Tribolium castaneum: one gene and its partners. Each later gene encodes a partner of the first gene's protein in a complex. Links are inferred from orthologs where the notes say so. Each region holds a gene or a part of one and is shown on either strand. Other genes may lie near its edges. The genes, in order: Rrp4, exosome complex component RRP43 and Csl4.

The links.
Region 2: Rrp4 (region 1) and exosome complex component RRP43 share a complex: the UniProt entries of both Homo sapiens proteins name them as parts of the RNA exosome core complex. The link is inferred for Tribolium castaneum from reciprocal best matches to the Homo sapiens genes EXOSC2 and EXOSC8.
Region 3: Rrp4 (region 1) and Csl4 share a complex: the UniProt entries of both Homo sapiens proteins name them as parts of the RNA exosome core complex. The link is inferred for Tribolium castaneum from reciprocal best matches to the Homo sapiens genes EXOSC2 and EXOSC1.

Annotation. Positions count from the first base shown.
Region 1 is NC_087397.1:166,985-177,566, forward strand, and holds Rrp4 (exosome complex component RRP4), read right to left. Parts: upstream 5,112-10,582; 5' UTR 5,031-5,111; coding exon 4,906-5,030; intron 4,855-4,905; coding exon 4,617-4,854; intron 4,556-4,616; coding exon 4,421-4,555; intron 4,367-4,420; coding exon 4,187-4,366; intron 4,134-4,186; coding exon 3,921-4,133; 3' UTR 3,897-3,920; downstream 1-3,896. Other genes in the region: uncharacterized protein tyn, read left to right, coding at 271-334, 591-982, 1,565-2,048, 2,100-2,407, 2,457-2,590, 2,637-2,776, 2,824-3,050, 3,100-3,289 and 1 more; Impbeta11 (importin-11), read left to right, coding at 5,562-5,699, 5,747-5,847, 5,900-6,420, 6,474-6,931, 6,978-7,160, 7,478-8,406, 8,458-8,923, 8,975-9,079; adhesion G-protein coupled receptor G6, read right to left, coding at 10,429-10,582. UniProt on the Homo sapiens protein: Non-catalytic component of the RNA exosome complex which has 3'->5' exoribonuclease activity and participates in a multitude of cellular RNA processing and degradation events.
Region 2 is NC_087402.1:7,977,517-7,988,019, forward strand, and holds exosome complex component RRP43, read left to right. Parts: upstream 1-6,121; 5' UTR 6,122-6,249; coding exon 6,250-6,266; intron 6,267-6,319; coding exon 6,320-6,494; intron 6,495-6,538; coding exon 6,539-6,833; intron 6,834-6,879; coding exon 6,880-7,000; intron 7,001-7,047; coding exon 7,048-7,255; 3' UTR 7,256-7,325; downstream 7,326-10,503. Other genes in the region: CycA (G2/mitotic-specific cyclin-A), read right to left, coding at 2,192-2,699, 2,747-2,970, 5,134-5,568, 5,624-5,770; uncharacterized protein Spt20, read right to left, coding at 8,749-8,900, 9,078-9,263. UniProt on the Homo sapiens protein: Non-catalytic component of the RNA exosome complex which has 3'->5' exoribonuclease activity and participates in a multitude of cellular RNA processing and degradation events.
Region 3 is NC_087401.1:17,296,992-17,307,138, forward strand, and holds Csl4 (exosome complex component CSL4), read right to left. Parts: upstream 3,967-10,147; 5' UTR 3,880-3,966; intron 3,824-3,879; 5' UTR 3,667-3,823; coding exon 3,076-3,666; 3' UTR 3,020-3,075; downstream 1-3,019. Other genes in the region: protein HGH1 homolog, read left to right, coding at 4,173-4,260, 4,307-5,307; uncharacterized protein LOC100141651, read right to left, coding at 5,986-6,231, 6,277-7,050; lysocardiolipin acyltransferase 1, read left to right, coding at 8,055-8,112, 8,162-8,265, 8,311-8,906, 9,126-9,459. UniProt on the Homo sapiens protein: Non-catalytic component of the RNA exosome complex which has 3'->5' exoribonuclease activity and participates in a multitude of cellular RNA processing and degradation events.

The DNA of each region.
Region 1 (10,582 bases):
TTGTGCGTAATTCATTTTCAATGAAACTACAAATATTTAACGACTAACACAAAAAAAGAAACTAGAGTGATGTATTTCCATATTAAATAACGCGGACGAAGAGGCGCCTAAGTAGCCTGTCGAGTAGTCATCTATTACGTGCAAACATGCAAGTAACGTTTCCACATTCAGTGCTTAATGAGTGAGATATTTTAGGTCGTTTTCCCACAGATAAAATATAAACACGCTAACATCTCCTATCCATATTTACAGAGTTGTCTTTTTTTGCAGATGGTGCACCATACTCTTGCAATAAGTCTGATTCTAGTCGTAGTGAATATATATGGAAGTTTAGGTGAGTTCTTTTACTTGTTTCATTCAAGCGGAACGACTTGAACGGTTCTTTGCGGTTTTCGGATTGTTTCCAAATTACGCTCGACCGTTAATTATGTTTTGTTTGTCCCAACTTAAAGAGACGCCAAGTTTCTAATCATCTTAATTGTTTTACATAACTTTGCATAGATATCCATTTTAAGCGAACACAGGAGGAAGTTATAAAACTAAATGATCGTACAAAATCTATCAACAAGTAAATTTCCATTTAATTCCAGGAAGGATAGCGTTTGAAAAACTAACAGACTTCGATTATCGAGGAAACACATATTACACCGTAAAAAATTTAAGTCTTTATGAGTGTCAAGGTTGGTGTCGTGAAGAGCCCGATTGTCAAGCTGCAGCTTTTAGTTTCGTGGTAAATCCTTTAATACCCGTCCAAGAAACGCTTTGTCAACTTCAGAATGAAACTTCATCGAATAATCCGTCAGCGGTACCACAACGTTCCGTCAATATGTACTACATGACCAAGTTGCAACTACGTTCAGAGAACGTTTGTTTGAGACCTTGGGCTTTTGAACGCGTCCCGAATAAAATGATAAGGGGCTTGGACAACGCCCTTATTTACACTTCAACTAAAGAAGCTTGTCTTGCGGCTTGTCTCAATGAGGTATAAATAACACTTTTAATCAAAATGTTGGGGATAATTTTTGCTTCAAAAACAGAAAAACAACAATGGTTGTTTTACCATGAAGTAAACAGTGAATAAAATAGCTATTATCGTTTACGAAATACGGAATAAAAATATGTTTTGTAAAATTGTACATTAACATATTTTCTTGACTTTTTTGTATTATTTAATGTGTACAATTTTAAAAATCGCCATAGATACTTAAATGCTATGTAAAATTTTATGCGCTGCATTCAAATTTGAAGGTCGTTTGTAGATTTGAAATTGCCTTCATTATGAAAAATAGGTTTTAGCGAAAAGTTTGCAAAAACCTAAAATTGAACAAATTTTGCGTTTGCATTCGCTAGAAACTTTATTTTTTTTAACAGAAATTCTTCAATTAATACGGATTTTTAATGAGAATTACACTTTCTTGTAAAGTTACAAGAAAATTTCGAGATTTTTTTCTTTTAAAAGATAGATCCCTACATGATTAAATACTTCACAGCAAGCTTATCCCCAACACCTTGACTGGAAAAAGTAATTTTTCTTCGAAATGTGACTATAAAATTTTCATTGTAGCACCGTTTCACCTGCCGTTCGGTGGAATACAATTATGTGACTCTCCAATGTCAATTGAGCGACTCTGATCGACGTACCACTGGTCAATTTGTGCAATTCGTAGACGCACAAGGTGTTGACTATTTCGAAAATCTGTGTTTAAAAGGAAATCAAGCTTGTAAAGGCAACCGAATCTTCCAAACGCCTCGAATTGGAGTCGCTGACGATAAAGTAGCACAATACGCTTCTTTGCATTATTACACCGATAAAGAACTACAAGTGACAAGTGAAGCGGCTTGTCGTTTAGCTTGCGAAATCGAAAACGAATTTCTTTGTCGATCGTTTTTGTACAAGGGACCTCCACAAGGCTCACAATACAACTGCCAGTTGTTCCACCTTGACCACAAAACTTTACCGGATGGACCTAGCACTTATCTAAACGCTGAACGACCTCTCATTGACAACGGGGAACGAATTGGGAGTTATTTCGAAAATTCGTGCGAAAGTGAGTACAATTCATTCATTGATGGAATTATAATTTAATAATTTCTTTTAGAAACGGTTTCACCATCTGGGGCTCCCTCTGATAACACTCTCCCTGTAGTGTTTGAAGCTACAGAAGACCCGACTTTGAACAACTTGACCCGAAGTGATGTCAATTGTGACAAAACTGGAACTTGCTACGATGTTTCAGTCAATTGTAAAGATACCAAAATCGCAGTTCAAGTCAGGACCAACAAACCGTTCAATGGCCGGATTTATGCTTTAGGACGTTCAGAAACTTGTAATGTTGATGTTATCAACAGTGATCTCTTCAGATTGGATTTAACGATGACGGGACAAGATTGTAACACGCAGTCGGTGGTATGTTACTTCACCTAACAATAAAAGTGTGTAAAAGCCGCTGTTTCAGACCGGTGTGTATAGCAATACTGTTGTTTTGCAACACCACAGTGTTGTTATGACCAAAGCTGATAAAATCTACAAAGTCAAGTGCACGTACGATATGTCGTCGAAAAATATCACCTTCGGAATGATGCCAATCAGGTGAGAAATAAAATATGTAAAACAACTCGATCCAATTTTTTTGCAGAGATCCTGAAATGATTAGCATCACCTCAGCTCCTGAAGCGCCACCTCCAAGAATCCGCATCTTGGATAGTCGGTCTCGTGAGGTGGAAACAGTGCGAATTGGAGACAAACTCACTTTCAGGATTGAAATTCCCGAAGACAGTATGTAATTTATTTTAACCATTAAAATATTGTTATTGTTATTTTAGCACCGTATGGTATTTTTGCGCGAAGTTGTGTCGCAATGGCTAAAGATTCTAAAAGTACGTTCCAAATTATTGATGACGAAGGATGTCCGGTTGATCCCAGCATCTTTCCTGCCTTCACTCCCGACGGAAATGCTCTCCAATCAGTGTATGAAGCTTTCCGTTTCACGGAATCATACGGCGTGATTTTTCAATGCAATGTCAAGTATTGTCTGGGACCGTGCGAAGCTGTGAGTAATTAATTTTTTATGTTTATTTGTGGTGATTTTCTTGTGTTAGGCTGTGTGCGAATGGGGACGGGATTCGATCGAATCTTGGGGTAGGAGAAAGAGATCTGTGAGTAATACAACCGATGAAGAAAAGGAAGAAGACATGACTTTGAGTCAAGAGATCCTAGTTCTTGATTTTGGAGATGAGAAACAATCGCAGTTTCTCAAAAGCAGCGAATCGAGTGCTGATTTCGGTAAAGGTATTAGTGTTGGATTTCGGACGAGTTTTTATTCAATTGATTTGTTTCTAGATAAAACAGTAACGATCATTGAACCGTGCCCCACCAAGACTTCAGTGTTAGCCTTGGGTGTGACTTGTGCCTTATTAGTTCTACTTTACATCAGTACGCTGTTCTGTTACTACATGAAGAAGTGGTTAAATCCCGGGAAACACATCGCTTGAAGATTTAGAGACACTTTGGTGCTTTAATCAAGTTTGATCTTTCGGTTGAGTTGACGAGCAGCATTGTTAGTTCTGTGATATCGTTAACTCGAGATGAGATATCAAATAGGGAATTCCCCGACTCTACATTATGCAATATGTATTTTTTAAGGATTTTTTTTCGGGAAGGTGGCGGCCTTGGTGATGGAAGCTTTATTTTACCGTTGCAAAAGTTATACTTTCTTGATCTCTTATTAAAACTAATTTGCACTGACTCTCGTTCCTAGAGCAAATTTTGTAACGGTAAACAGTCTAATTCGTGTACTTATTTATTTTATTTATTTACTTTTTTGTATATATCTCGACTAGGCTAACATTATTTATATCGATTATTTTATACACGTTCTCAAGTCGAATAATAGACATTTTTTATAAGAAAAAACTATTTATTATGAATTTTCCAACATGCTTAACCTATCCTGAGTCAAAATTGCTACATCGACCATAGCTTCAGGAATCAATAATTCAGCCACTGAATATTTCTGTGATTCTTCAAAAGCATACAAAATGCTAGTATCGTACAGCATCATTTTACTTTGAATAAGCGCCAAAATACAGTTTCGAAGACGTCCAATTGTTTCTCTTTCTGGCCTTGAAACGACCTAAAAACACCACAGTAGCAAAAAAAAACAACAAAACTATTGTGAGACACAACTTGTTCCAAATTTTGCACAAAGCCACCAGCGTTATCCTCAGCATTTGAAACAGTTGGATAAATCCAAATAAACCCATTATTGCCCAAAATAATACTAGCCCCAACATAGAAATTGTGAAAATGTGTTTTGCTCCTTTTAATGAGCGAGGGAAAGACTTTAACTAAAATACCTTGAGAAAGCTACAATCAAAAATGAACGTATAATCAAAACGTAACGAAAAACACGAGACAAACTTTTCCATATTTCAAACTTCTAGTATGTAAAGATAAAGAACCATCTGAATAAACGCTCTGTACTTCGGCACTTATAAGATCGCCCTCTTGAAGATATTGTCTCATCATATGCTCGTCTTCTGCTGATCTACGCCGCTGAAATTTAATATTGCCAACTTACTTGCAAAATTAACGACCAAAAAAATCTTTTATGTACCAGTTCCCCTCCTGGTAAATTAACGGAAGACAACAACAAGACCGAATCCAGACGCGAATTCGTATCAACTTTCCAGCGTTTTTGTTGGACTTCTGTGACTCGTCCAACCACCACATCACCCACTTCACCATTATATCGACTTTTTAACGGACGAATCGAAATCAAATTATTTACTTGTTCCTTAACTCCAGCAACTGATGATTTTAAAAAACCCTCTTCTTCGTACGTACCATGCCCTCTATTTAGAAAAATCGCAAAATTTCAAAAAAAAACACGAGACAAACCTAACCTCATAAATTCATTTTGCTCCGTAATCACTTGTCCCGGAGTAAATATCTTTGGAACTCGACGGTTAACAGCAATTGAGGGGTTGATGCGATGAGCGGCAAGGCGTATGTGAATTTTTTGCGGCATGTTCTTGCAAAACACTCGAACCGCATTTGAGATTAGAAACAACAATTACTGGGTTAGGCAAGCAACAATACGCAAGTACGCAATCTATATAAAATTGTGACTTCTCTGTTATCAATCTGAATTATTATTGAAACTTGTTTTTAATTTTCTATTTTGTCGGTTTTATGTGTAATTTAATTATTAAAAGGAAATTTTTGTTTTTTGGTATTTTTAATGACTGTTGTGGTAGTCGTGCATGTCATTTGAAACATGTCATATGTGTTTTGACAATTGATAATTTTATTTAAGAAAAAATAATTGTATAATACCGGTCAGGTGAGGCAAAATTTTCTTTTCCACATTGAAATGAAAAAATTTTAAATTTGTTATTACCATAATGTAAGGCGTATTAGGAAATCAAAATTAAATTATTCTAACCTCACTTTTGCGATTTGTCTTACACACAAGTTAAAATTTATTGAAAATAATTCGTATATTGTTGTGTATTATAATAAATTGTGGTTCTCAAGGGGGAAATGATTATAATTCACAATGAATACGGGATCAACACAAGACATCGTAATTGAAGTTCTGCAAAGAGCCTCGAGTCAAAATCCAGAAGTGTTAAAACCGGCTGAAGCCAAATTACGGGAATGGGAAACTCAACCTGGATTTTACACAGTTTTATTTGTACGTATTGGGCAAAAAACACAATTAAATAATACACCATTCTTCAGAATGTTTTATCTAACCACTCGCTTGATATAAACGTACGGTGGATTGCAGTTTTGTATATAAAAAATGGTATTGAACGATATTGGAGAAAAAACGCACCAAAGTAAGTCACGCAAGTTGTAATGTACCTAACTAAAGTTAATGTCCATTTCTAGCGCTATTTTAGAGGCAGAAAAACAAAACATTAAACACGGTTTAATTTTAAGTTTTAACGAACCCGTTAGTCAGATTGCGGTACAAAGAGCGGTTTTAATTTCGAAAATTGCACGAATTGATTGTCCGAAAGAGTGGCCCGAATTATTTCCGACTTTACTACAAGTAATTGAAAGTCCTGATTCTCTAGTCCAACATCGAGGATTTTTAACTCTTCATCATGTAGTTAAAGCCATTGCTTCGAAACGGTTAACAGGCGATCGCCGTTTTTTCCAAGAGTTTTCCAGTAATATTTATTCGTTTGTGTTGAATTTATGGAATAATTTCACCGAACAATTTATGAATGATGTAATGAAAGGCGCAGCTTCGCAACTAGTTCTTACAAATTTGGAAAAAGCACTATTGACTTTGAGGATTTTACGCAAATTGACTGTTTTTGGTTTTTATAAACCGCATCAAAACCAGGATTGTATGAAGTTTTTGAAAGTGATTTTTGATCGCGCTAAAATGGCACTGCAATGCAGTGAGTAGTTTGTGTGGTTATAATTTTTTTTTCGTCACATTTGAACATTACAGGGAAACATTTGAGGGATAAAGAACTGGTGGAACAATGCGAAAAATTCATTACACACTTAACGAAAGTTTTAATATCCGTCTTGGACGTACATCCATTTTCATTCATTGATTTCATTCAACCTTCGTTCGAATTTACTACTTATTTTCTTTTCACTCCTGATGGAATTAATTTCTTGTTTGAACGCTTCATTATTCAGTGTTTTAATTTAATTAAAAATATTCTCTTGTGTGTGGAATATAAACCGCCGAAAATTCTCGAAATGTGTAAACAGGAGGAAACACTTAAAGCGCACGAGATCAAAATTAATTTTTTTCAAGCCAATACTTTAACCGAAATTTGCCGAAAATTGGTCTCGCATTATTTTATTTTGACACAAGAAGAGTTGGAAATGTGGGATGCTGATCCAGAAACGTTTGCGATTGATGAAAGTGGTGATAGTTGGAAGTATAGTTTGAGGGTAAGAACAAGAAATAATTGTGTAAATAAATTAAATACAATTTCAGCCTTGTATGGAAACTGTTTTCGTGACAATTTTTCACGAATTTCGGGACGCTTTAGCTCCGGTTTTGCTTGAAATGATTCATGAAACCAACTGTATTGTTTTACCCGAAGACACTCAAGGAATATTACGTAAAGACGCAGTCTATAATGCAGTTAACTTGGCCGCTTATGATCTTTATGACGAGGTAAGTAAAAAATGTTTAATTAATTAATATTTAATTTTAAGTCATTGCAAAAAAATATTTCCTGGCATTCTAAAATTATTGTCTTTTGTATAAAACAATATTAAAAAAAAAACTTTAGAATATTGTTGTTATTATTATATGTATTATATTATATTAAAAACATATTATTTCTAAAGAAATTCTTGTCATAAACAAAAAATATTTATTAATGAAATAAAAATTTAAAATCTAGGTAAATGTACTCGTAATTTTTGTAGAGAAACAATTTTTTACTTATTTTTTGCGCAAAACATTTAAGTATAAAAAATATTTTTCAGGTCGATTTCGATTCATGGTTCACCAACACATTAACTCATGAGCTTAAAATGAAACAGAACAATTACCGTGTGATTCGGCGAAGAGTTTGCGCCTTAATCGGCCGTTGGACTGGCATAAAATTATCATCGGAATTACGTCCAGCTTTATACGAATGTGTGATTAATTTATTAGGTCCTGACGAAGACATGGCTGTTCGCTTAACAGCCTCTGCAACACTACGATACGCTATTGATGATTTTGAGTTCAGTTCCGATCAATTTCGTGATTATTTAGACCCAGCATTTAACTTATTGTTTAATCTGTTGAAAGAAGCGAACGAATGCGAGACAAAAATGCACGTTTTGAACGTAATGACCCTAATGGTGGAGAGAGTAGGACAGACTATTAAACCACACACTGATGCATTGATTCATTATTTGCCATTGTTGTGGACCGAATCTGAAGATCATAATATGTTGAGATGTGCGATTGTTTCGACTTTGGTTCAATTGGTCAAAGCTTTGGGGTCGGTTAGTTCAGAATTGAACCCGTTTTTATTACCGATTATACAATTAGGCACTGATACGAATCAAAGTGCTATTGTTTATCTCTTGGAGGATTGTCTCGAGTTGTGGTTGACTGTGTTGGAAAATTCTACAACTATGTCAAACGAGCTTTTGCAACTATTTAACAATATGCCAACTTTATTGGAATATTCAACTGAGAACTTAAGACTTTGCCTATTGATTGTGTTGGTTCACACTTTGTTGGCGCCAGATCTTGTCATGCGAACACACGGAGTTCAAGTGATTACAGTTTGTGATAATTTAATGGCCGATATGAAAAATGAAGGCATTGTAATGTTGATCCGAATGTTGGAAATTTTTATTCGATCGTCACCGATTCTAGGCTGCGAGACTGTTTTCCCCATTTTACCACGTATATTCCAGTATGTGATTTTGATTTTTTCTACAACTTTAAATGACAGAATTAATTTTAGAAAAATCTACGAGGGTGAGGATTATCCTCTCTTAATGTCAATGTACCTGTCTATACTGGCACGTGTTTTGCTTTCCTCGCATGATGTTTTTACACGTGTTTTGCGCACGTTGGCTCAAGTTCATAATGAAACGGACGAAAATGTCCTTGGAAAAATTTTAAATGTTTGGTTATCGAAAATGCCAATGGTGTCTCAATTAGAACAGCGCAAACTTTTGGGTCTAGCGTTGACGAATTTATTGACCACTCAAAGTCGGCCAGTGTTTCAGAGATTTGCAACAGTTATGGTCAATATTTTGGAGTGTTTGAACGATATGGAAGATTCACTTTTGTTGTCGGATGGTCGTAGTCCGAGTGATTATGATGATGTTGTGCCGTATGAAACCGATCATGATCAAAGGAAGAAACAATTGATTTTGTCGGATCCAGTGCATACGATAGTTTTGAAAGATTATTTGCAATCACAAGTGAGTTGATTTTTATTTTTTGTTTGCATTGTTTTGGTGGTTTTGTTTCAGATGTATGAACTTAGGAATCAGATTGGGTTACCTCAGTATGAACAACTGCTACAAACAGTTGATCCTGATACTATTTCACAATTGAAGGGGTATATTACGTTGTGAGAATGACAAAATGAAATTCTATCTTTAGCAATATCTTATTATTTTTGTTATATTTTTGTAACATACCTAGTTGTATAATAATCGTTTCTTTTAGTCCTTATTCAAATGAATTTCATTCTAATTATTTATTGAATACATCGCTTAGTTATTATGATTCCGAAATTGATTTGAAACCTACATATTGTATATGATTGTACCAAATAAGATATAATAAAAACTGTTACAATCAAACACTACCTGTCTTTTTTTTTTGGTAGGGAGAACCACGTTAGAGAAAACGTTTTTAATTGTATAACATTTTTTTCTTTACTGGCAAATTACTGCGAACAATAAATTACAAAAATAATTTAATAAACAATATCTACAACCAATCACAGTCCACTACTAATTCACCAATTTACTTTTTATGTACAGTTTTTTTATCCAAATGAAAAATTAAATTAACTTTTAGGGAAATGAAAATAATGTCAACTTTATTTTTTGAAATTTTTCAAAATATTGTTGGTTTATTTAGGAAAAAATTAATGTTTAGGGACTCCAAAAAATGTTAAGAACTGTGGTAAAAGCATTAATGATCAGACAAACCTCTTTGTTCTTATGACACGTACTATGCAGCAAATAATTACCTGAACAGTTGTTCAGTTGTTGATACTTTATTATTATATAATTATTGTGCCATTTTGTTTATTATTATTAAAATAAAACTGGATTTTTGCTGATAAAGATCTTCAAACATACAACTATCTTTAATAATAAGACCGTGAATTTTCGAATACCTACCTACTTTTATTCATTTAAATAATGGGTGAATTTTAAAACTTCACATAATTTGGTGAAACAGCAATCTTTTGCGGTATTCAGAATGCAACGAATTTTACTTTTAATACTTTAATAGTAAAACCTTTATTCATTTAATCAAGTCTCTAGAAATTGTATTATCTTTGTTCATTTATGTTATAATTTATTGAAACTTGCATAACACGCACTGTTTGAGCTTTGACGCTAGGCAAATTATTTTTTAAAGGGAAAAATCCGCGATTTTAAAATAATAAAGCCGTCAGTCATAATCAAATTCAGACTTCAGCAATGACTTCATTCTATCAATAATATTATTTACTGCTTCCACACCGGTAGCATCTAATTTACAACTAATTTGCCTGTTGTATTTTAAGTGCATAATGACCCCCCTTATTGAGATGACTCTCACTGGTCTAAAGGGAGTAAAGTGCAGACTTTTATATCATTTAATCAATTTTAAAGGAATGCAAAACAACACTTATAGTGCAGCAAGAGGGACATATGTGTTGGAGCTCTTGGTTTTAACAAATTAAAACAAGTAAGTGTCAATTTTATTTTTTTATTAACTTTGTCACCCAAAAATAACGAGTCTCCCTATTCAAAACAACATAAAATAAAAATAGCACAAAACCTTGCAAAGTCGCAGTGACACAAAACACGTAAAAAAGAACGATTTTCAAAACTGAACCATTCAAAAGCTCGGCA
Region 2 (10,503 bases), on another chromosome or scaffold:
TCACTAATAAAGAACTTGACCAAACGCCAAAGCAGTTTCAAATGTGGAATTTGATAGAACATTAAATTTTATTGCATATGTTTTTGATATAATTTGTCCCAACCTACCTAGAAATTCAGGATCAAATTACCCAATCAAATATTTGCATCTTTATGACTATCAATTATCATGTGTTTACCGTTTCGAAATTCAAATTAAGTTTGTTTCTGGCATATAATAAATGGCAAAATGGAAGCACCAAACCCACACAAACATTTTACAGCAAAATGGAATTAGGCCAAGATTTATTTGATCAAACTTTTAGTGCCGAACCTGATTTATTGTCCGCCAGTAGACTGTCATAATAACAATTAAGTTTCCTTTCGAATATAAAATGAAATATCGACGAGCAACCATGTCAGCGAAAAGAACGGTAAACCGGGAGATTGCGCGTGAAATATCTCTAAATCTAATTAAAGTGTGACTCGAGAACAGTATCGAATCGTGATTTATTCATAAATAGGTTTATTTTATTATTGGAATTTTCAACTTGTGCAGTATTCCTCCAAGCAAACATTTTTATCAATGGTCCGCGATTTTTCAAAGCGTTTGATTACGAGAATTTATGAATGAAGTTCTTAGATAGTCGTCGTAAGAATGAGTCTGTAATTTACGGTTCGCTTAACATGATCATGAATAAAAATCGCTAAATTCTAATGACAGTTAATTTCAAATTATTTAAATTCACTTGAGCGTAAACGTGCTTGTTATAATGTTACAGATATTACTCGCTTCCATTCAACAAGAATTGGATGGCATCTCAGCAGTTCCTTCCTGTAAACAAATTTATTCGGTGCACATGTGAAAAAATAGCCAATTTATTTAAATCGATTTCTGATTGAATTATTGTGGTTGGGTACAACCGCGTAATATTCAACAATAAGCTCACAAAAACGCCAACGATTCGTTAAGCTTCTCCACTCGACAAATAAACCAATTTATCGTTTCTTAATCGATTTGCTAATGCGTCCAACCAACTAATTAAGCGCTAATTAGTTATGTAACTGTTTCATTCAATACTAAATGATTGGCTTAACGTGATTACACAAAAATTAGCTGAAACAGTTTTAAATTTAACGCTGAAATTTCCACATCCAGCCACCTAGCGGCGAGTAGCGATGGTAAGAGCTTCAGAAAACCTCCACAAGACTGCAGCTTTTGCCTCAATTTGTGCATGCAACCTTATTACCAACTGTCCTTATTTTTTTAAAGCACAGATCAGTAGTGATCAGAATCAGTTTCTTGTTTAAACTATTCTTACCTCTTTGCGAAATACCAAAATAAAAACTCAATAAGATATCAATCACCAATTTTTTATGTTAATTATTTTAAGTTAGGTCGTAATGATGGTACGAGCTGTATATGAGTGTCTTAATTAAATCATTAAATGCGAGCGGCATACACTATTATACTTTTTCTACGATCCGTCTCGTTATACAGGGTGAGTCACTTGTAAGTTTGCCTGAAATTCTATAAATATGCAACCAATAATACTGATTTTAGCTGACCAGATCGATTATTTAATTAAATCAAGTCAAACTTGTATCCTAATGAATTTCATGGAAGTGGAAAAAAAGGGCAGATATTACTCAAAAAAGAAAGTAAATTTTTATATTGCGTCACTCCGTGAACTAGTTTTTTCAGAAAATAAATAATAGCTTGAGCACAAAACACTGGTTCCATACTTTTCACCTGATGGTATGTGAAAATTAGCAATAGGAAAGTAGGGAATGGAAATGGTGTTAAAAATGACGCGTCGGTTGTAGTTCCACAATTTATTGCGTATAGAAAAATATCAAAAATTGTTATTGACAATTTCGTCCATTTTGTTATAAAGGAATGGCAGCAATTCGTTTGTTTGATTCTTAACTACTTATAACAAATAAATAAACTGTACAATGTTTAGGAAACAAGGTAGTTTCAACGAGAGTATAAATTCAAAATACGTAAATCCAAATAAAATAACACATAAAAGACAGTAAATAAAACCATGCAAACTAAAATAATATTGATGGTCGACAGTACACATGAATGGGACACCACAGCACAGCTTACTATAAATTATTACCATCTAATTAATAAATCTAATAATAAAAACTAGACCAGAAAAAAAAACGCAAGGCCTTTGTTCCCTACGAAGTAGAGCAGTCTTTTAATCGAACGAAATCATCTCACCGCTGGGACTAATCTTAGAAACTTGCATATACTTTGGCGCCTTGTACTTGTCCCGAATGGCGTGTTGTGGATTAGATGGCGCTTTGGCGAACATTTTATACAAGAATCCAATACAAGATTCTAATTTTTTCAAATTATATCCTGTGTATTTTTGCAAGTCGCCAGGCCACGCTTCTTCGCCCAAAGTGTGTCTGCTGAGAGCTATCGCCGACGACGCGACAACTGACGGCAAAAACTGTAAATACGGTTCGACCTCCAGAAGCGCCGATTCGCTTAAATACATCGCGAGATTCTTCACTTTTTCGGTTTGTTTTGTGGAAATGCAAATGGCGTTTAGGAAAGTAAGTGGTGTGGGCACCGACAAATCGAAGCCCAACACCCTCAGAATTAACTGTTCCATTCTAATCATTTGGTGTTTGTCGTAAGTGTCGTCAGTGATGTACACGAATTCGCTGACTTCTGGTGGAAAAATTTCCTCGTATTTACTGAAAGGGCAAATTAAACGAGGATAGCGTTTGGGCGATCGACTTACGAAGCAATAAACATTGCAGCTGTACCCACAAGTTGCAATTTGGCCCTAACTACAGACATGTAACTTAAAAATCGGTCGATGAAATTTACGGCCAAATAAAGGGTTTCCGTTTGCATACCGTACTCTTCAGTAACTTCGACAAGCCAATCGATCAAAACAGCACGCATGTTTTCAGTTACGTCAGGCTGTTTCACGATGTAGCCGGGTTTTGGCCGATGTCGCAGCTGAAAACAATTAGTGGAGATTTGGAGGACCAATCACAGTTTATGCATTATGCTTAGTATCACTATCATATTTATTTCAAAATCATGAACTTTGACAGAGAAAGTGGGTTTCCGTATAAATTTTCAAGTTTAGACCGCAAAAATGGTTTAAATACGGTTTTCTAAGTTAAAATGCTCTATTTTCCTTTTTTGAAAAATAGTATATTACGTAAAGTGTAATCTGATCAAACCGTTTTGCTGTAGGACTTTTTATATTTCGAATTATGATTTTTTTTAATAAAAAATTTAAAATGTTTCTGTAAGCGAAGCCATTTTCCGGAGCGGTTTCGAGTTTTTACGAAAACATAGATAATTTAAAACGCATTCTTATTCTTACAGTGCGCACAAAAGTTATCGCAAGACATGATTTTTTTTATAATCATATTCATTGGAATTCGAATTATTGGAGTAACGTAATATTTTTTAAATAAGTCTCAGTTCTGCTTACACACATCCGACAGACGATTACCAGTTTACGAGAAAAACGAAAAAAATTATCCTTTTTTTCAGGCGCCAATTAGGCGAAACTATTGAAACAGACGTCAAAAGCTCTACAAACTGGCGTGGGTTTCAAAGCGATAACTCCAAAAAAAATCAATTGTGAAACGCTAGTTACGGTGAAATTAAAAGAGTTACGAAAAAAATCCTATTCCATCGTAAATTACGACAAAACTAATAAAATATAGGTTTAGTAAAGTAATCCGGAGAATCGTTTGCTGTAGAGAAAACTGTCAAATTCTTCATAGTTTTCAAGTTAACAACATATAATTTTTACCTAATTTTGCTTCTTTAGCAATTTTCTCGGAAACTATTAGATGAAATAGGTAGAAAAATGACATTATCATTTTAAAAAACGATAGATAACACGGGCGAACATAGTTTTTAGTGTTTACAATATTGTTGTCAGTTTTTACCAATTTAATTTACTGCTATGACGACATAGCAATAATTTTTACTTATTTCAAAAAATTAAATAAAACCACTCGGTTTTTGCGCTTTTACCTCTCGTGAGAGACATGTTAATTACAACATTACTGTTGGTCCATAAAATGTGATCTCCCAGAAGCAATCCATAAAAAAAACACCCATACGATTTTTTTTAAACGCGAGAGGTATCACATCTAATATTTGAAATTTTTAACTCAATAATTCACTATTAAAAATTTATAATAAACTTTTTTTTATTTGTAAATGTGGTAGAAAAGAAAACAGTGGGTACTACAGAAATCAGAATACAGGAAACATAAAAAACATCTTTGGCTTGTGATAGTTAAAAAAGCTTTCCAAAAATAACAAACTTGATGGGGTAAAGTCTAACAGTTCCTAAATTATTGGCCGATAAATGCTCCAGAAATCGAACTAAATCTCAAAAAAAATCAGTTTTCAAACACGGATACGGTGAAACTGAAAGACCAGAAAAAAGTCTTATTCCATCGTAAAGATAAGATTAAGATTTATCAAACAGAATGTTCAGTAATTTTTCATTTTTTATTTACTCAATTACAGCAAAAGTATTCGAAAAATGGAACCACTTTGATACTCCAATGTAATATAATCCGAAGAATAGATTGACGTCGAGAAAACGGCCAAACTTGTAACAGTTTTGAAGTTATCTACAGAAATAATTTCTTTCTATTTTTGCATTTAGTAGCAATTTCTTCAGTCGCAGATAGAAAATAAAAAAAGCTTTTCAACGATCAATCTTAATAAGGTCGTGGAAAACAGTTCCGGAGTTATTGCCCGATAAATGCTCCGGGTATCGAAATCAACCAAAATTTTCGCAAAAATTGATAAATCTGATTTTATAAAACCGGTTCAATTGACGCTTTTGGCACATCTAAAGGCTCTAGAGAAAAGTCCACAAAAGATAGTTTTCAAGTTATAGGTAAAAATCGTAAATTGAAGTGTTCTCATGTTTTTAACATATCACAACGTAGAGTATGGAATATAATATACGAAATTAAAGCCATAATGAAATTTCCCGCCCCGAAAGTATTTCAAAAAAAGTCAAAGTTGTTAATAAAAAGGGCTTCAATCTGTTTTTTTTTTTTTAATTGAGAATAAATGTCAATGGATGTAAAAAAACTTGGAATAATTTTCTCGTCGTTCTTGAAGATACTTTACCTCATGTTCTTTGAGATAAGCAAAAATGCTATCCCTATACTCCTCCATTTCAAAAAAGACATCTCTAGCATTGGTATTTGTGGAAACCGTTTGCTCTTTGAGCTCAATGTTCTCCACATCTGATTTCTCAATGCTCATCGGAATCTCCGATTTTCTCTTAAGTTGAGGCGCAGTAATTTCCTTCAATTTCTCCAAATTCTTTTTCCTTTCAATTTCGGCAAGTTCTGTCTTCGTGATAAACCTGTCCTCGGCCGTCCCTTTATACACATTACTCTTACTGATAAGTTTGAGCCTTTCATCGATTCTCGCTCTGTATTCATCATCCTCATACACAGTAAACGCCTCAAACTGGGCCACCGGAACCACGACATTCTTCTTATTCTCGTTTTTTTGCCCATTTTCCACCCGGTTTCCCAAAACGGTTGGCTTCTTCGTCTGGCAAAAAAGCAAACGTTTTTCCCATCCAAAGTTACCTCCAACTGTTAATTACCTGTTTTCCTTTAAGGGCTGCGTTATTAACTTTATTACTGTCAATCTCGCCCAGAACGCCCCGTTTTTGCTGGGCAGTCGTTCCCGGTTTTCGGCGCAATTCCGGCACCCGGTTTTCCTGGTCCTGGTGAATTCTTATCGATGCCATTCCTCTAACACACGTGCAAGTTTCTAATACCCGAAAAACGAAAAGTTTGCTGAACCGAAGGCCAAACTGAACCCCAACTTAAACACCCAAGCTACCCCTAACCGACAAAACGACTGTTTTTAACGGCCAGATGCAAAGAGCGCAGAGTGCGGGAAACGAACAGCTGAGAGACCGTTGAAATGACAAACGGGACCAATGGGAGCCCAGATTTAAGCAACGTCACACGAGTGGGGATAACATGTTTTGAAGGGTTTAACGGAATTTTGCACTAAATCAAAAATCAATCGACAATACTTGTTCCCAACCAAATGCCCTATTTGCAAGCAAATGTCTTCATTACAAAAATTGCATTATTCAACCGAATTTACTCGTTTCAAATCAAACGTTTCCCCCACCGTTGTCGGCAACCAATCAAAACTAACGTCATTAATAATGTCAATTGTCAAAAACGAAAAACGTGGTTATAAACAAATTCAATAATGTCAGAACAATACAAGTAATAATTGTAGTACTGTGAATAAATAACAAGGTGATTATCCTATGTTTTAGGATTTTGCACCCCGTCAAGTACTTCCGCGACCACTTGGCCCACAAAATCCGACCTGATGGGCGCGAATTTGGGGAATATCGCCCCATCGTGGTCAATTTGGGCTCAATTTCGACAGCCGATGGGTCTGCGATTGCCAAAGTTGGTCGCACGACGGTAGTTTGCGGCATTAAAGCGGTGAGTGTAATTGGAGGCATTCAATTTGCTAAACCAAACCTTAGGAGTTGTGTCAGCCCAAGGCTGAGGCTGCAAACGAGGGGTTTTTGATCCCCAATGTGGAATTACCACCGTTGTGTTCGTCAAAATTTCGGCCAGGACCCCCAACTGAACAAGCCCAAGTAGCGACCCAGTTAGTTGCCGATATTTTAAAAAACTCTGATTGTTTAGACTTAAAAACGTTATGTATATTTCCAGACAAATTAGCTTGGTGTTTATATGCTGATTTAATTTGTTTGGATTTGGATGGGGCGTTGATAGACGCGTGTGTTGTTGCGTTAATGGCAGCGCTTAAGTCAGGTAAAGACAATATTGTTTTTTTGTGAAAAATATAATTGCGCTTCAGTTACTTTGCCAGCGGTTCAGTACGATCCAGCCCTTGACAACAAGCAAGTGAATGTGCAAGAGAGGAAAGCTCTTAGTGTTACCAACACTCCAATAGCAACAACGTTTGCAATGTTTGATGAGTAAGCTTATCATTGTTGTTGTAAACTTTTTAATTTTTTGATTGTAGTAAAATTCTCATAGACCCAACAGTGGATGAGGAGGACTTAAGTACGTCTTTGGTGACAATTGTGGTGAAGGAAGAAGAGTTGTGTTTTGTTCACAAGCCAGGTGGCTGTGTTTTTACGGAAGAGCAACTTTTAAAGTGTGTGGAAGAAAGTACAAAACGTGCAACTGTGATTGAGGAAATTATAGAAACAGCTTTTAAAAGTTTATAATAAAAACATTTTTTTTTATAAATGTATATCCTATATTATTTAAATAAAAATTTTAACAGGTTCCACAGTAGGTTGTGTGATCATTTAACCGAATTTAAAATTAAATCACCACACATTTATAAAAAAATCTATTGTCTTTGTTACAGGATTGAAAAAATAAAAATCGGGAAAAATCAACACTTTACATTTTAACGAGTATACATATTGGTATTGCCAAATATTCAACACGTGTCTGAATTTATGTACAAAAAATACGAAACATTGCAAATAATATACATTATTACAAAATACTACAACTCACCACATAATCACATATGATACAAATGTAGAGACTAAGGATGTTAGATATTTTTACAAAGTATTTTACACATTTCGTTCAAAAGGGAAATAAGTCTACTGTATGTACAGTTAAAAGTTTGCGCCTAGGACAGGAATGGTAGTAGAAAAATACCAGGAACAATAAATAATAGGGGTTTTAATAAAAATTTGTATATTTTAACAATGTGTAATTTTACATCGTTGATGTTTTATAAAGTATAACATTTTGTCCTCGTTTATGCCTGATATCTTAATACTACAAATATTTTTTTGTTGATGATCCGATTTTAGAAGAATTAAAACAAATGTAACCAGAAAATGAAACATTACACAACCATTAATTGAGTATAAAAATAAAACTACTTAAAAACAATCATAAATTATGATAAAGTGGATACACCTAAAATTATTTACAAAAGAAAAAATATGTACACATCAAATGAATCTACTCACATTTCTTCCAACAATATTGCTAATGCACTTAGTGATAATCTTATTTCATTAATATGAATTCTCCGCGCTCATAAATAAATAACAAAAAGTATACATCTTCCCTATCATATGTACAGTAGATTAAATTAACTACAACTAAACGAAACTGCAAAAATGCACAAAATTGCTTATACCGTATTATACAGTATTGCGGCCTGCTACAAGAAAATCTCGCGATTTGTACTGTTTTAAATAAAACGGCAGTAAAAACAATAGGCCGTGTCCCTACCTAGAGAAAACTGAAAATAAACTGGTATAGGTCCACTTTTGGCACCATGTTTATTTCTAAATGTAGGAACGACAATTGTGCAATGTAATGCAGCAGATGAGATCAACAATATCTCTTTACTGTTTGCAAAAGTACCACCCAAGCGTTTGAAAAATCCAAACATTACAACCATTTCCCAGTACTATTTATTTTCTCGACCACGAAATAAATAATAATACTGGCTTTGATCACAGAAATAGTGGGAAGAACTCTACAGGTTTATAAATTAAGAATTAAACGAGTGTGATGTTTGAGTTTTACTGACGGCTTGAATGCATTCACAAAGACGACACTCTAATGCTCGGCAGTTTATTATTTGTTAGTGAAGTACTCAGCAAAAGTTAAAACGTATATATAAAAATAAAAACAAACAGGAGAGACTAGTTCGATAACACAATGTACAGAAAATACAATATTACTGTGGATCTGAAGTGTTTGATCGTCTTCGAAGTTTTCCCGCGACGCCCGCCACATTCTTCTGCTGTTGGTTCAGACAGAGCTGTTGATACTGTTGAAATTGAGCTTGCTTTTGCAGTTGACTTGTTATTGAAGCATTTGTAGCTGCATCTAAGAAAATTTACTCTCAAAAGTTTCAAAATGAATATCACAGATTTTACTTAAAAAATTACCAACAAAAAGCATGCATTAATTAATTGAATTAATCTATTAGGACTTCAACTCAATTGAATTTAATGGAAAATGATCATTTTCTATTGACATTTAACTGCAAATCGGTCAACTGACTTGAGTTCTGTGTTGCCATCTTGAGGGTTATTGGTGTTCTTTGGATGTTTTGCTGCATCCTGGGCCTCTGTAAAGGGGTCACTAGCTGATACGATTGCCCGCCCTGAGATAACGACACCGAAGCGGGGCCCTGGGCCCGGATACCCTGCTGGGTTAAACCCTTCACCCCAGACGTGACTAACTGGGCTGGATTTAAAGAAAACCACTTTACAAACACGAAGCAAAAATGAACACAAAGACAACCAGCGAAACCATTCAAAAAATCCTATTTTCTCCTCACAAACCAAAAAAAAGACCAAATTCACTAATTATGTGTGCTTTTGCAAGCGGTTAGAAACAAACAAAGAAATTAAATTTCTGCAATTTAATATTGGAAATCCATTATAAGCAGAGACGGGATTGTATTATACTGTAAAATATGCTAAAAAGGGCAGTAAAAATATAAAATAGGGCCATATAATAAGAATAGAAGGATAGGTCATAAAATCCTAGAGAAAATATTTTCCAACGTCGCATTTTCTCTCAAACTTAGTTCAAAAAATTAATGGCTAATGTAATTTATAGTTTCCGTGAGAAATCTTATTTATAAAAATTTGGTAAAATGCGACGTTAACATTTCCGTAGTTTTGAAACAGAGTAGGCAACTTTAAAGCTTTAACGCTTCAAAGACTCATTTTAAACCCATTTTATTGTCAGAATAACAGATTACGAATCAGGTAAATTAAAAAAAATGTGTACCAACTCTATTCTACCCGAAACGTATAATTTTTTTAATAATTTTGAAAATAAGTCACGTCTATGTTGCGCTTCTCAATAAAAAATATGAAAATCATGTTTTTACGATACTTAAAACAATTTTTAACGTAATAAATTGTTTCTGCCTAAACTGACTTGTTAGATCTCTATCTTATCCTTCACTCGAAAGCCATTTCTTTGACTCTATTTAAGGTTGAAGACAAATAGTCTGTGATAAAGCATGATTTATTGTTGTCTTGCTTAAATAATATTTTAACCACATCTTTAAAGTTGCGTTTTGTTCAAACGCAGGCTAAAAATTTCAGTGTTTAATGAATCTATGGTGTAGATGATTGCGGAAAATAATAATGTAAAACAATTTCACCAAAAAATAGCTTTATTTTGGAGTAAAAAATCGAAAATTTTTTAAAATGAAACGGCTAATTATAAAAATTTATGATTTTTTTTACTCTAAAATAAAGCTAGTTTATTGAGAAATTGTTTTACATTATTATTCTTCACAATCATCTACACCATAAATAACAATAAACATTGAAACTTTTAGCCTGCACTTGAAGAAAAGGCAATTCAAAGAGTGAATTTCAAACCAGTGTATTTTTACCACAATCTCTACAAGGCTCTGAACTCAGAATTCGCCAATTTTGAGACATCTTGTTTGTATACAAAAGTT
Region 3 (10,147 bases), on another chromosome or scaffold:
ATTAGAGTTATCGAAAAACGGAAAAATGGAGGATAACCGGAATAAAAAACTCTACAAAATGGCATAGGACTCAAGGCGATATCTCGCAAAAAATTTTTCAATTTTCAAACGCCGATTACGGCCAAACTAAAAGAGCTAGACGAAAACGGTTTGTTCGATCGTAAAGAGCACATCAAAATCTATAAGATAGAATAGGTTTCATTTGATTTAGAGACACTTTAAAAATTGACCGATTTTAAGGGGGGGGTGTTAACTTTTTTTTTATTTTTTTTATTTTCCCAATTACGACTAAACTATTCGAAAAAGTGGAACTGTTTTGATCCTTACCTATGCAAAATGATCCGGGGAATCGATTGGCATCGAGAAAATTGCCAAATTCCGAATAGTTTTTTAGTTATGAATTTTTTAAAATTTTACCAATTTTTGCATTTTTCTCAAATTTGCTCGAAAACTATTAGTCGCAGAACACTAATTTTTTTTGAAAAAGATAGATAATTTAAAGAGCTTTCCAACGATAATACACTTCATGGGGTTATCTCTGATAGTTCCGGAGCTATTGCTCGAGAAAATTCCGGGTACCCAAAATCGACCAAAACTGCGACGAAAATTGAAAAAATCAAACATCTAAAAATCGAACATATGGACTTTTTGTGGACTAAAAACAACTTTTGTGGGTTGTTAAGACATAAAGAAGTCCATAAAAATTTGGTGGAGTGAATTTAAAAAAAAATTTTTTTTCATCACTTTGAAGGTAAGGTGTAGGCACAAATTTATTACTCAGGAAATTTGAGCAAAAAATTTGAAAATTTTAAATCTCGTGAAAAGTTGGTATAATACAGAAAAAAATCCGCTGAATCCAATGGAACAAACCGCGTTGCTCTACGACTTTTAGTTTTCGAGTTATGAATTTTTTTATTGAATAAAATTTTCCACTATGACAAATGACTACCCTAAATTTAGGCAAAAAATTTTAAATTTTTAATTCCTGTGAAAAATTGATATAATATGTAAAATGAGCCGTAGAATTCAATGGAACAAACCGCAGTGCTCTACGACTTTTAGTTTTTTTTTTATGAATTTTTTTAGTGAAAAACTTTGATCGCCTCTGTAGCCGGAACCGTTGCCCGGAGCGGCTCCGGGTTTAGTCGAAAAAATAGATAAAATTAAGCGCTATCAGATGGTTTTTTGTTCGTTGCTCTAAGTCTTACAGTTTCCGAGAAAAACGCAAAAAAAGGTTTCCATTTTCACTTTTTTTCAATTTTCAACCGCCAATTACGGCGAAACTATTAGAGTTATCGAAAAACGGAAAAATGGAGGATAACCGGAATAAAAAACTCTACAAAATGGCATAGGACTCAAGGCGATATCTCGCAAAAAATTTTTCAATTTTCAAACGCCGATTACGGCCAAACTAAAAGAGCTAGACGAAAACGGTTTGTTCGATCGTAAAGAGCACATCAAAATCTATAAGATAGAATAGGTTTCATTTGATTTAGAGACACTTTAAAAATTGACCGATTTTAAGGGGGGGGTGTTAACTTTTTTTTTATTTTTTTTATTTTCCCAATTACGACTAAACTATTCGAAAAAGTGGAACTGTTTTGATCCTTACCTATGCAAAATGATCCGGGGAATCGATTGGCATCGAGAAAATTGCCAAATTCCGAATAGTTTTTTAGTTATGAATTTTTTAAAATTTTACCAATTTTTGCATTTTTCTCAAATTTGCTCGAAAACTATTAGTCGCAGAACACTAATTTTTTTTGAAAAAGATAGATAATTTAAAGAGCTTTCCAACGATAATACACTTCATGGGGTTATCTCTGATAGTTCCGGAGCTATTGCTCGAGAAAATTCCGGGTACCCAAAATCGACCAAAACTGCGACGAAAATTGAAAAAATCAAACATCTAAAAATCGAACATATGGACTTTTTGTGGACTAAAAACAACTTTTGTGGGTTGTTAAGACATATGGAAATCCATTAATATGGAATAGGCCACATGTAATTCACCCCCTTCTTTCTCCTTTTTTTTTTTTTTTTTTTTTAAGTCCCACTTTTACGATTACGCATTGAGACCCTCACAGCCATCATACAAACACAAAAATAAACTCACCCTTAGTTTTTGGTGGGGCGGAAATTCCGTTTTTTTTACGTTTTTGTGGACTTTTAACATGGTCGTACAATTACAGCAACAACAGACAAAATAAAACAAAATAAGTAGATTTAAATGACATTTAGCCACTTTCATAAAAAACAACCCTTCAATAAATAAATCTCGTATCTCTGTTCCTAGTTGACCAAAAATTTTAAAATCAAAACCAACTTATTCTCCACTGCAAACAGTTCCCGAAACTAGAAAAAGTATTAATAAAAGTTGAAAAAAAATATAAGGGTGGGTTTTTCAAACTAATATAAACCCCATCGAGTGACCCCTCAAACTTCACCGCCTGAACTGGACATTACAAAAACACAAAAATGTGTAGGTCTTTTATGGCTCCTTAAAGAGATAGCAAAATGACTATTGAAAATTACAATTTCAACCAGACCGTCGCTTAGACTACATCAAGTTGCATCTTTTCTCTCATAGAACAAAATTGCGCCCAACGCTTAGTTTCCGAGATATTTAAAGAATTAGGTTCAAATTCAAATTTTCGCGCCTGCGTTTATTTTTAAGTTTTTTGAGCACGTTTTTCAGGAAGCAGCGTGATTTTTTAAGTTTTTCAATTTTTATCGAATTACGGCTAAACTATTCGAAAAAGTGGAACTATTTTGATCCTTACCTATGCAAAATGATCCGGGAAATCGATTGACATCGAGAAAATCGCCAAATTCCCGATAGTTTTTTAGTTATGATTTTTTTAATGTTTCCAATTTTTGCTTTTGCTTGCAATTTTCTCGAAAACTATTAGTCGGAGAACAATAATCATTTTTGAAAAAAATAGATAATCCAAAGAGCTTTCCAACGATTATAAACTTTATAGGGTTATCTCTAATAGTTCAATTAACTTTTTTGCACTTTTAAGGGACGCAAAAGGGTTTATTAAAATAAACAAAAATACAATTTATTGAACATTATTTCACATCATTTTGCACGCTTTCTGGCACAACTCTTGCAACCTTCCTGGCCTCCTTCACAAACGTCTTGGAGCACTGCATCTCCGTCCAGCTCACAGGCACCATAAGCCCCCCATGTTCCGAGTGCGCCGTCACGACCCCCAGCTCATTCTCAGCCGTGGACAACTGATAAGTGTGAGCTTCCGTGATCGGCAAAACCCTCGCCAGAATCACGTCCCCGGGCCTGAAACTCTTGTAAATCTCCACGCGGTCCTTCTCCGTCGCTCGCACGTCCTCCTTCCGCAAAATCCCGCGATACTGCCGCCCCAAAACCTTATCCCCGACACACTTAATGTAGCATTTGCAAAACTGCTGCGTGATTGTGTGAATTTGCGCTGTGACGATGTCGCCCTGTGACGGCACGAGCGTTTCCTGCCCGGAACTGCGCACTTCAATGATCTGGACGTTGTCTTTGGGGACAATGTCCACAACACCGGCAAGGGTGGCGTAGATGTAGCCCCCACGCTCGTACGTGCCTTGACCGGACACGTGCGAGGGGTCCGACAGGCACAGCCGCTGCCCCGGGAGGCACACAAGGGGCGATGACATGCCCAAAATCAACAAAAAACGAAATTTTTGATTTTTTTTGAGGTTAAGTCAAATGTCAATTGACATGAAGAAATTTCAAAAACTGCGTGTTCCTTTTACTGTCAATATTATTATCACGGCAGACGACGTTCAAAGCCAATCAAAGGCACACAAGGAGCTATAACATGCGAAAAATCAGCACAAAAACGAAATTTTTGATTTTTTTGAGGTTACGTCAAGTGTCACTGTCAATTGTCAAAAAACGAATTTGCAAAATTTTACTTTCTCATTCATTAATTAACATTAATTACCAATTACGACCATTAATTTGGCTACAGAATTAAATAAACTGGTTTATGTTATGTTTATTTAACTACTCATTACACCCTGTATATACATACAACGTAGAGATAAACCTAAAAAAATAATGCCTTACTTATTAGAATGATTTTTTGCCACCTAACCCCACTTTTTTGACAGCTGTCACCCCTCGTGTTTTGTTTTTTTTTGGGGGCTTTAGCCTGATAATGGGTGATTCCGTGGCCGAATTGTTGCAGTTTGTGCATCTGGGGGCCCGTTTGGACCTCAAATCGGTGGCTTTGGGGCACATTTTGGGTAATAGGGTTCGAGGTTAGACTTGTTTTTTGTAATTTTTTTGTAGGTTTGACGGGGAATGCGGACGGAATTGCCACATTAATCAACACACCGTCACTTCTGGTCTCCTTAATCACACTTTTGAGTGATAATAACGCCACAATTGTCAAAGACTCGGCACTTTGCCTTGTTAATGTCTCTGCTGATCACAAGGGGGCCCTGGCATTGCTTGATTTGGACACGAGTGTGGGGTGCCCCCCTTTACAGAGCCCCCCGAGTGACATTACTTCGACTGTTGTTAAATTCGTGACGGACCCCATGAGTAAAATCGCCGATTTTTCCTGCATGATTTTATCGAACTTATCTCGGGCCAATCACGATAAAGTGATTGATGCGCTTGAGAAAAGCGCAAGTTTGGACGATTTGATTGACATTTTCACGAAAAAACAGTACAATAAAGCGGGGGCTAACCTCCACTACTTGAGCCCCCTTTTTTCGAACTTGTCGCAAAGTGGGCGCGTCCGGAGACGCTTCCTGGACCGGATCCACAAACTCGTGCCTTTCATTGAATTCGAGGAGTCGGCCGTGAGGCGCGGGGGCGTCGTGGGGGCCCTGCGTAACTGCACATTTGACCCCGAGTGTCATGAGCTGCTCTTGGGCCCCCATGTCGATATCTTGCCCCGGCTGCTCCGCCCCCTGGCCGGAAACGAGGAATTTGACGACGAAGACAACGACAAGCTCCCCCTTGAACTGCAATATCTCCCGGAGGAGAAACAGCGTGAAGAAGATCCAGATATCAGGTGCATGTTACTGGAGGCTTTGACCCAGTTATGTGCCAAGAGAAAAAATCGAGAATTTATCAGAGAGAGAAACACTTATGTGATTTTGCGCGAGTTGCACAAGTGGGAAAAGGACAGAAAGGTGCTTTTAGCGTGTGAAAATTTGGTCGATATTTTGATACGCACCGAGGAGGAAATTGGAGAAGATGATTTGAAGACACTTAAAGTGCCCCAAAGTTTAAGCGAAGACTTCAATAAAGCGGATGAGCAGTTTTTAAAAGATGAATAAATTTTTTTACAATTAAATTTCGTCTTTCTATATATTTCAAAAATATATAATTTCGGACGAATTAGTTCGGGTGACAGAAGTTTCACTGTATTAACAGTTGTCACTGTTGTTCTGGCCGTTTCCATAACAATTAAATTATTTAGAAATTTTGCGCAATATTTGAGTTTTTGTTTAGAAACGGTAACTTTTCATTCATTTTTGACCAAATTTGGTGATTTTTCTGTTCTAGTTTAATAAAAACATGAAAAAAAAAACTAGATTTTTGGTCAAAAAACGTGTTTAAATTTTCAGAACTTGCAAAAAAATTTCATTTTTTGCATAATTTTTTGATTTATTACCTGATTTAAAAAAATGCGAAATAATGAAGTTTTTGCTTAGAAAAAGTAAATTATTTTTCATTTTTGACCAAATTTGGTGATTTTTTTCATTCTACTTTAATAAAAACAGGAAAAAAACTAGATTTTTGGTTTAAAAAAACGTGTTTATATTTTCAGAATTTGCAAAAAATGTTATTTTTGAATAATTTTGTGATTTATTACCCGATTTTTAAAAAAAAATTGCGAAGTAATTAAGTTTTTGCTTAGAAAAAAATAAATTTTTGGTCATTTTTGTCCAAATTTGTTGATTTTTTTCGTTCAAGTTCAATAAAAACAGGAAGAAAAAGTGAAAAATCAGAATTCAATTTTTATTAGTGACTTGCACCACGACGATCACAAAGTTGGCAACAGTGGCAAACATGCGCAAAATCGTCGGCTTGCCCAACCGGAAATAACCGGCGGTTAAAACCGGCAAATTCTCCTCCACATATTCGGTTAACTCAAACAATTCGTAATTTTGTAACCGCATTTCGTAAAACAATGTTACAATTTTCTCGCCCTCTTGTCTCACGTAGTCACACAGTAGTAATAAAACAGTGGTCCAAACCTAAAAATAACTAGCACTGCCAACCTAAACCATTAAGACACTAACCACAGTCGGTCCAAGCCTCAAGCTTGCCAAAACTATGCTTTCAAACACCGAAACTTCAATTTTCACATACAGGGTGAACAAAATATAGTTAAGGACTTCAAAAGTCGTGAACGCGACCATTAAAGCAATGGGGAATTGGAAAATTTCGTTGAAAACATCAATAGTTTGTCTCAACTGGACGAAAATTTGCACAGTTTCGTTTAGCGTTTTTTGGTGGCGTATTTTCTGGTAACAAACCCGAAACGTGTTCAGTACAACACATAGCATAAATTTGTAATAATTGGTGAAAAAAATCTGCACCAAACGCACATTAAACTTGTTCAAGTAGCGCCAACCGAACAAAAACGCCCACCGAAAATCCACCAAAGCCTCACACAACAACGTCAAAAAACAAAATCCCCAAAATTTACTAAAATACGGCAACTTCCAGCCCTTCTTTTTAGGGACTTTTATCTTGATTTTGATAATTTCAAGGTGACGCATCAGGAGGTACCAACGTTTGCGTTGCCTCAAATTCACCACTACCAACACATACAAACTAAAAATGTACAAGTTTAATTCGGTCAAATAAGCCACCACGATTTTCATGTAAATGTCCCCAAGGTAAAAATTGTTGGTAATCGTGGTTGAAATTAGCCCACAAGTTAGCAAACCCAAGACCACGAAAATGTACATTTTTTGGTAAAATGGTTCCGTTTTCGTGTCAATGGACGATGGGGTGATTGCAAAAAACCGACCAATGGTACAAACAAGACGCAACGTTTTCAGACCCATGGCTGGGTCCCAACTGACCTTGACTCCCTCACACGCGAAATAAATTATTCAGTGTTGTTAGATAAATAAAAGTTACGTTTTTATGTGTTTGTTTTATTTCACCTCAATTATTAACTAAAAAAAAAAACACCACAAAAAAAACTTGCATAACTTTTAATAGATTATTTTGCCAGAATTAAACATTTGCGTCGTTTTGTTATGATTCCTTATCACGGAAAACGTACCGGAAGTGATAAAATTTGCCCAAATTGAATAATTTAATATTAGATTGTATAACTGGTTGCATACTCACTATAATTAAAGTTTTACGATAACATTTAACTTTCACTTTGTTTAGTAATAATTGCCATAATTGTTAAATAACAACGATTAAGAATCACTTAAACAAGCATTTCGCTAATTTCATTCTTCTGGTGTAAGCATTAGTAATGTTACCTAACCTGATTTATTAATTTTTGTTAATAAAATATATAAATAATATTATGCGATACGGTAATTAAAAGCCAGGAACTAAAGCGTTTTTTAAATGTTGTTAATGTTATTTTAATGCAATTAATTAATTGTGTGCATAACTGGTTGCCTATACTATGTTACGTAATCGGTATTTTTCTTGTTAATTAATAGTTCTTATCAATAATGTATTAAGTGTACTACCAGATGCTAAACAACAAATAATACAACAAAAAATGTACACAAACAAAAAAATAAACAGTTTTTGCGTCTGTTGTATGATTGGTTGCCTATACTACAAACTTTCCTTTTAATAAAAAATTCAACTTTCGTTTTAATGATTGTTTTAATTGGATTAAATAACACACGTGGCTTGATTGTATAACTCGGTCACGACCAATGGCATAATTGGATTAAATGCCCTTAAAAGTCTTCCCTTTTATTTTTCATTTAGTTGGTCATACTGTCGGATGCTGCGAATCAATAAATTCATCTCAACCCTCACCATGTAATCTTTCGTAAAATTCGCCGTATTTTAATTTTTTTTCACCGAAATGGGCTTGTTTCACGGTTTTTTGTATTGTTTTTTGTGGTATTCGAGTATAATGGCTGGTAGGTAATAATAGATTATTTTCCACCCTTGTGTTTTATTAACTTGTAGGCTATGCGATGTTTTGTCCCCTTTTGCCACTTCTGTTTATTTCAAACAAGTTTTACCGAACGTGTACGGACGCTTTATTTACGTTCTGGCAGTTTTATCCGACGGTAAAGCGCTCCATACACTGTTCCGGTTTCACGTCCGTTCCGTAGGTGTTGCTCGAGTTACTGTGCGGATGCGAGATACAAGTATCTGGTGATGCCATTCAAACGGACGAAACGTCGCTCATTGTTATGAATCATCGGACGCGGACGGATTGGAATTTTTTGTGGCCCACGATGTATCACTCTATTTCAGGAAGCGGGAAATTCAAATTTGCCACCAAATTTGTGCTAAAAGATGTCATAAGACACATTCCAGGGCCGGGCTGGGTCATGCAATTGGCCTGTTTTGTCTATATTAAGAGATGTTGGGGTTTGGATAAGTTAACTCTGGGGAAAGCGATTGATTATTTCTCAGAACTTGGATATAAGTATAGTTTGTTGGTTTTTCCTGAAGGTACCGACTTTACCGATAGTACCAAAGCCAAAAGTGATAACTTTGCACGAAAAAATGGGCTTGAAAGTTACGATTTTGTTCTGCATCCTAGAACTACAGGTTTTGTGTTTTTGGCCAAAAAAATGTTAGAGAAGAAGGCGCTGGATGCGGTTTATGACGTCACGTTGGTCTATCCTGATTTGGTACCACAAAACGAAGCTATTTTATTGAAAGGAAATTTTCCAAAACTGGTCAAAGTACATTTAGCAAGGTTTAATAATTTTAAAAAATTATACAGGGTGTCCCAACAACTTGGAAAAGTTCATTACTGACCTTTCAGTAAATATATAAATATTAAAAAACATAAGTTTACATATGCTTTTTTCGAAAACACCCTGTATCAGGAAATTAGTACCTCAAAGTCAATAATAAACTTTTTCTATTTGTTGTTACACCCTGTATATATTTTTTGGTACTACCTATATTTTAGGTACCCTAGTGCCGTTTTGCCCAAAACGGAGGCCGGCCTTTGCGATTTTTTGCAAAAACGCTGGTTGGACAAAGAACGTACTCTACGTGAGTACCACTCAACGACTCAATTTCTCCACGGACGAATCCTCAAAAGTGAAAATCGTTGGGAACTACTTCTTGCGCTATTTTTTTGGACATTGTTGCCGTTTTTTGTCACTTATTTATTGTGTGTGTATTGGTGGTACCGTTTTGTGATTTTGGGCCATACCGTGTTTTTAATTATTGTAAATGTGACAATGGGTGGGTTCCAAAATTTCGAAATCTGGTGGTACCACCTTAGGAGAAAAAACTAGTTTAAGTACCTAATTATTATTGGAAAATGTGAATTCAAATGTGCCAAAATATTTATGTATTAATTAATAAAGTCGGTGTTTGAAGATTATATCATCACTTTCCTACTCCTGGAGGGGGTTTCCCCCACTTTAATAATAGTACCTAAGTTGAGGCAGTTTGGTTAGTTTCGACTCAGACTGCGTTAGACGAGTTCAAAAAATTATTAGTTGCTATTTTTTCGATTTTTTGAGAGAGTAGTACCACTACAGGTAAGTCGAATTTTCGTTTTTTTTCCCAACTTTTATTTCCGTATTGCTTAACGCGTTATGTAATAACCGGCCGTAAAAATATTCGGAAATTATTGTGGCTGACCAGACGCGAGATGGTCAGAGAAAGTCGGAGTATTTACGCAATTTGAACGGGTTTTGAAGGATGGTACCACTTTTTTCGCTCTAGTGCGTAGCATTAGCAATGGACTTAAGACAGGGAAGTACCTTGACACTGGCTCTTTTGACCAGCGTGTAAACAAGTACCTACCATTATGGGTTTTACCAAGAAGTCATTTGTAAACGAGTTATTAATGGCCTGTTAGCTATTTTTGGCAATTTAGAGACTTTCCAAATTTTTTGTAAGATAATAATTAGGTAGTACCACGTTAATTTGTTCCTGGAATTTGTCTTAATATTATAATAAACTTGAGTAATTTTA